2 linked regions of the Macaca fascicularis genome follow. The protein of the gene in region 1 purifies or fractionates together with the protein of each later gene. This does not show direct contact. Links are inferred from orthologs where the notes say so. Each region holds a gene or a part of one and is shown in the gene's direction. Other genes may lie near its edges.

Region 1 (3,819 bases):
AGGTAGGTGGCACATGGCTTAAAGTAGTAAAAGGCCACTGACATAATGAACTACAAGAAACTCATTTTTGTACTGACATATAGGAGTAAAAGTCAACTAGGAAAATTAAGAAAAATGTGAGAGGCCAGGCATGGTGGCTCATGCCTGTAATCCAACAATTTGGGAGACCGAGGTGGGTGGATCGCTTGAGTCCAGGAATTCGAGAGCAGCCTGGGCAGCGTGGCGAAATCCCCTCCCTACAAAACAGAAAAATTAGCCAGGCGTGGTGGCGCATGCCTGTAATCCCAGCTCCCGTGGGGACTGAGGTGGGAGGATCACTTGAGCCCAAAAAAGGTCGAGACTACAGTAAGCCATGATTGGGCCACTGTGCTCCAGCCTGGGCGACAGAGCAAGACTATCTCAAAGATGAAGCTGCAGGTCTCTGCTCACTATGGGTGATTCCAGGCCACACTTTTTTTTTCTTCTGCAGAACTTTCATAGAGAAACACTGTTCTCTGAGACTCTTCTGCCAGTCTTCCATTTGTTACCACTGTAAAATAGAAAACAGAAAACAAAATCAAAAGGTTTTGGACTTGGGAGCTTGAGGACAGATGTGTCCACATTTTGGTGAAGTTTGTATATAAGCACATCTTGGTTTTATTATTTTGTTGTATATAGCACCTACCACAGGAATAGCATTTAGTAGCTCAAGGTTCATACAGCATATAATGCTGTATTCTGCTGTACAACCCTTTGGCCCAGTGTTTGACCAGTCTTTATTGATAGACCAAAACCTTATGTCTTGCAGATGCTGTTGATGGAGTAATGAATGGTGAATACTACCAGGTACAGAGTACTCTGATTCTATTCATTGATAGTGATTGAGAGTTTTCCTTTCCTGTGATTTTAATTGACCTAGAAAGAAACCCCAGTCCTTTGACTTTCCTGGATGTATTACTGGCTGGTATGTTATCTACCAAAGTGGAAAGATTTAAAGAGAGGTAGCATTGATAAAAAGAGAACTGTTTTAAAATGTTATTTACCTGCCCCTAGTGTTACCACCTTTATTCTAAAGAAACTACTCTTCAAATGACACTGTGTTAAGTGCAGTAAGTTAGTACTAATACTTTAAATAGTTCTTCTTCCATCTTTGTTTATAGTCTGATTAGGTTAACCTGGTAATGTTCCTTAGTTCAGTGAGTGGCACATGGAATAGTTCTGTAAAGATTAACATTTATTTGAGTCTTTTTTTTTTTTTTTTTTTGAGACAGTCTCTGTTGCCCAGGCTGGAGTGCAGTGGCACGATCTCATCTCATTTGCAACTTCCATCTCCTGGGTTCAAGCGATTCGTCCACCTCAGCCTCCTGAGTAGCTAGAATTACAGGTGCACGCCACCACGCCTGGCTAATTTTTTGTATTTTTAGTAGAGATGGGGTTTCACCATGTTGGCCAGGCTGGTCTTGAACTCCTAGGCTGAAGTGATCCGCCCACCTCGGCCTCCCAAAGTGTTGGGATTACAGGCGTGAGCCACTGCACCTGTTCTATGTGGTTGCCTTTTTTTGGGGGGGGGGGTTTGGGGGGGTGGGACAGGGTCTCACTCTGTCACCCAAACTGGAGTGCAGTGGTGCAGTCTTGGCTCACTGCAACCTCCATTCCCCAGGTTCTAGCAAATTCTCCTCCTGCCTCAGTCTCCCCAGTAGCTGGGATTACAGGCACACGCCACTACCACCTGGTTCATTTTGTATTTTTAGTAGAGACAGGTTTCACTATGTTGGCCAGGCTGGTCTGGAACTCCTGACCTCAAATGATCCACCCACCCCAGCCTCCCAAAGTGCTGGAATTACAGGCGTGAGCCACCGTGCCTGGCCTATGTTGTTGCTTTTAAGGTAATCCTTTAACATTTTACAGCAGCCACCATTGTTGTTAGAAACAGGGGTTCTGACTGGTTGCTTGTGGTGGCTCTGGCCGGGTGTGGTGGCTCACGCCTGTAATCCCAGCACTTTGGGAGGCCAAGGTGGGCAGATAACCTGAGGTTAGGAGTTCAAGACCAGCCTGGCCAACGTGATGAAACCCCATCTCTACTAAAAATACAAAAATAAGCTGTGCGTGGTGACGGGCGCCTGTAATCTCAGCTACTTGGGAGGAGGTGGAGGCAGGAGAATTGCTTGAACCTGGGAGGCGGAGGTTGCAATGAGCCAAGATAGTGCCACTGCACTGCACTCCAACTTGGGCGAGAAGAGTGAAAACTCTGTCTCAAAAAAAAAAAAAAAGAACCAGGGGTTCTAACTCAGGTGAAGTGCATTTTAGGAAGGAATTTTTGGTATTAATATAGGACAATTGTGTTTTGTGTTAAGGAAAGTAATGGTCCAACAGACAGTTACGCAGCTATTTCACAAGTGGATCGATTGCAGTCAGAGCCTGAAAGTATCCGTAAATGGAGAGAAGAGCAAATGGAACGCTTGGAAGCCCTTGGTAAGGAATCCCTTTCTGTCTTTGGGTATCTGTTTTCAGTGGAGTAGTTGACCTGGACTCTACTTTTATTCCTTTTTACTTCAGATTAACCGGTGTCATTGTCTGATCTTTGGGAAGATATCTTCTCAGCCTGAAGGTTACAAGGCTACCTGCCCAGAGATGCCTAATCATAGGCCATTGTGTGAGGAGTAGAGTAGCCGGAGAGCCCCAAGATCCTCTCACAGGAAGAGCATAGTGATGCTATTACTGACCTCAAGAGTAGCCTCAGGTGGTGTTTATAGGGTGCTGTGTAAACTTGAAAGATTCAAGTTTCACATGTCCATGGACTTTCACAGTCCGTTTTTCTTTTTTTTTTTTTTTTTGAGACGGAGTCTCACTCTGTCACCCAGGCTGGAGTGCAGTGGTGCGATCTCCGCTCACTGCAAGCTCCACCTCCCGGGTTCACACCATTCTCCTGCCTCAGCCTCCCAAGTAGCTGGGACTACAGGCGCCCGCCACCATGCCTGGCTATTTTTTTTTTTTGTATTTTTAGTAGAGATGGGGTTTCATCACGTTGGCCAGGCTGGTCTCGATCTCCGACCTTATGATCCGCCCACCTCTGCCTCCCAAAGTGCTGGGATTCTAGGTGTGAGCCACTGCGCCCAGCCTCCATTTTTCATTTGAAGGCTGAATTAATTTAAGGTAACATGAGGAAAATGAGGTATGTTAGGAAAAATGTACAATTTGTTTTTCCTACCTTAATATCTCTGTAAGGTAAGTTTTACAGGTAAGAAAAGCGGAGGAGAGGTAGAATAAGTATTTGGAATACTCAGCTAAGAAATGGTAAGAGCCACAATTTCAGCTGAAGTCTGCCTTGCTTCAAAGTCACTACGCATCCCCATCAGCCACATTGCTTTCTAAACATTTAGTGCGCATGACCATCTAGCCACACGGCCTGGCGTTTGATAAAGAGATGTGTACACAGAGTGTCACCTGTTGGTTCATGATCAGGGGAGACTTGTGTCTATACATGGTGGATTGGAGAAGTATGCAGAGTGTGAGGACATAATCCACATTGTGGCCTTTTGTTTTTTCTTTTTTTAATCAGCTGACTTTAAGATTCATCTTTTCTCAACTTTACAGAACAACTGAAAGAAGAGGAAAATAAATGTGTGCACCCCCAGAATCAGTAATTAATATTTCACCATATTGGGTTATCTTTATATAAATGATATGTTTTAGACATATACACACATACACAAATTGTTCTGACTGACCTACTTTAAGATAAAGACATCATATACTTCATGTCTAAATATTTCAATGTACACCTCCTAGAAATAATGACATTCTCCTATGTAACCACAGTGTCAGCAGTATTATTCCCTC
Region 2 (2,727 bases), on another chromosome or scaffold:
CTGCCGCCTCACTCTCTGGCCATGGGTGGGGTCAGTGTCTGGTGAAGCCTCAGGGAAGAGTGAGGAGGCAGTTTGTCCTCAGTACTTCTCAGGTGAAGTGTCTAGGTGCCAGGTGACTTGTCTCTGAGAGCCACATGATCTCTCTGCTGGTTTGGAGGGGCGGGCAGACTAGACTGACTGGATTCAGCAGCAGGCAGTGTTCCCTGCACATCCCAGCCCTGCAAGTCAGTAAATGGCAGTGTCCCTGTATCCAGAGGAGGACTTGGCCCCCCATAAGCAGGCCACACTCACAGCCTGTAACAACTGACTGCCCCAGTCCCCACTGGGAAGCTCTGGGGGCCCCACCTTTTGCTCCATCTCAGCCCAGCTACTGAGGCTTCACCTCTCCATGCCTTGCTGCATTATAAAAGTGCATGGGGTGAGGACTGAGCCACTCCACCTCTGCCCATGTGCACCTCCTCCACTGTCATTCTCCTGGAGGCCCTGTGTCCTGACCTTCCACTCTACTTTCACCTAGAGGCCGGGACTGCACTCTGTCAAGCAGGTGCTCACATGCTCTCGCCTCCTTGCAGGTGGACAGACTGGATGCCTTGGAGAGTCTGCACAAGCAAGAGGAGCATGTGATGGAGCCGGCCCCTCTCATGTTTGGTAGGTGTCACCTGTAGCCCCCAACCCCCTGGGGAGGGAGAAGGGAGGGAGTCAAAGTCCCACTGCCCTTTCCTGGCTGGGCTTTGAATGAGGATGGGAATAGATGGGTGGGGGCTGGAAGGATCCCACTGGCTGCTGGGTGTGGAGATGTGTACGTCCAGGAATGTTGGCATGGCCACTGTCCTCCCTGCTGTAAGGGTGCCTGCCTTCCGATGGGGCTGCCTGCCTAGCTGTGAACTGCTGCTGTGTCCTGCTGGGCCTGGCCCCTGGGCAGCAAGGCTGTTGCTGGTGTGTGCTGGGAGGAACTTTGCACCTGAGAACCTGCCCAGGGCAGCCTGGCTGTCGAGCAGACTGGAGAGACTGTGGGGTGCTGGGACACTGCTGGGTCAACGCAGGCCTGAGGATGTGGTGTGAGTGTGTAGCATGCTGGTGGGTCTCAAGCCTCCTGCTGAGTGTGTCCCTCCACCATTAATGCCATTCTGGTTTTTTTAGATTTTGATGGGCATGAATGAGACCCAGCTGATTGCACTAAGTAAGTGTCCCATTTGGGGACTAGCTTATCCTCTAGCCAGGCCAGCTTCTCTGGCTGACCACACACTCCTTGCCTCTGGGTGCCTACTCTCTCGGTGCCTCAGCTTCTGGGTGGTAAGGGCTGGTCCTATAGACCCTGCTTCCTGGGCCCCAGCTACTCAGGGTAGCCAGGAGAGGACCCCCATGGGCAGGAAGAGCTCTGCTCATTGTGGGCTTTCCCCCTCTGCAGGCCAGCAGCTGAGGTTGATAGCAGGCCCTGCCAGCTTCCCCTATGGATATGCCTGTGCTCCCAACTTCACCAGCCTCCAATGTACAACTTCTGCGTGTAGTGGGCGCTGTCTCCACCCACTCTACCTGCAGAGTTACTAACTTCTCCAAGGAGTGTGTCACTCCAGCAGCACAGGGGACCGCAGTGGGAGGCAGGGACACCTGGACAATATTTATTTTTGGTGAAACCCAATGATGGCAACCTCTGAGCCATCCTAGAGCCTGGGGAGGCCAGGGTAGAGGCTGACAGCGCAAGACCATCTTCAGCCGCCAGCAGGGTCTGGACTCTGGGCCCTCCTGCTGGAGCCAGGGATTCCTCCTGGGCGCCCCCGACTGGCTGGAGCTGCCCCCTCCAGGCCAGTTTGAAGACTACGTGAACACGTCTTGTTTGGAGGTACCGGACCTCATAACAGGACTCTGAGCCTCCTGGCAATCTGAAATATTAAAGTCGGTTTATCCAGGCAAAGGTGCTCTGCTTGGTGCTGGTGTGGGTGGGAGGGACAGGGGCCAGTTTCCTAGGCCCCGCAGTCCATTAAAGATTTGCTGGGCCCTCTGGGGGTGTGGGACCTGCGCCCAGAGAAGCTGCCTAGGAGAATACAGCCGCTTGCATTTGGGGTCTTTCCGGACCTTGTTCGCTGAATGCAGGAACTCTAAATCCGGGAAAGGTGTGGGTGGAAACCGGCAGGTGAGTCCCAGCCCGTGGCCGCTGCGGGAGGGGGACCCGGCGGCGTAGCCCCTTCTCACTGGCCACCCGCCTTCCTCCTCCAGCTTCGAAACGTTAGAGTTCCTCAGGAACTGGGCTAGCCCCACGTGTTTTCGGGGAGGGTATGCCCCTGGCCTCCGGGATCCCCGGGGATCCCGCTGCTCTCGCCAGTCGCGCAGACCCGAGGCCCGCTTCCCTGCGGAGCGGCATACTGTGCACCTTGACCCATAGCTCGGGGCTGGGCCACGGCTCCGCTTCTCGCAGCCCCGCCTCCCGCAGCCCCGCCCCCGCCCCCGCCCCGCCGCTCGCGGTCGCCCAGAGACTCGGCCATTGGCTGCGCTTTGGCCCCGCCCCTACGCCTGCCTCGGCGCGCCCCGCCCCGGCCTCAGTTTCCCGGCCCGCTTGGGGCGGGCTGGGGGCGGGGCCCGACTCGGACCACGCGGGGCGGGACCTGGAGCTGACGCGGCCGCCCCGCCCCCGGGACCATAACCGGCCGCTGCCGCCACCGCGGACCGAGCGCGGAGTTCAGGAGGCTCGGACCCGAAGCCGCCACTGGGCGCCCGGCCTCCCGCCCGCCA

What was found.
Region 2: the proteins of CLTA (region 1) and CLTCL1 purify together in Homo sapiens (co-immunoprecipitation; 3 studies listed by BioGRID and IntAct, with this or other methods). This does not show direct contact. The link is inferred for Macaca fascicularis from reciprocal best matches to the Homo sapiens genes CLTA and CLTCL1.

Annotation. Positions count from the first base shown.
Region 1 is NC_088389.1:63,154,796-63,158,614, reverse strand, and holds part of CLTA (clathrin light chain A), read left to right. Parts: intron 1-787; coding exon 788-825; intron 826-2,333; coding exon 2,334-2,451; intron 2,452-3,819. UniProt on the Homo sapiens protein: Clathrin is the major protein of the polyhedral coat of coated pits and vesicles.
Region 2 is NC_088384.1:33,664,134-33,666,860, forward strand, and holds the end of CLTCL1 (clathrin heavy chain 2), read left to right. Parts: intron 1-572; coding exon 573-648; intron 649-1,140; coding exon of another isoform or gene 1,141-1,160; exon of another isoform or gene 1,161-1,180; intron 1,181-1,408; coding exon 1,409-1,548; 3' UTR 1,549-1,912; downstream 1,913-2,727. Other genes in the region: SLC25A1 (tricarboxylate transport protein, mitochondrial), read left to right, coding at 2,727-2,727. UniProt on the Homo sapiens protein: Clathrin is the major protein of the polyhedral coat of coated pits and vesicles. Two different adapter protein complexes link the clathrin lattice either to the plasma membrane or to the trans-Golgi network.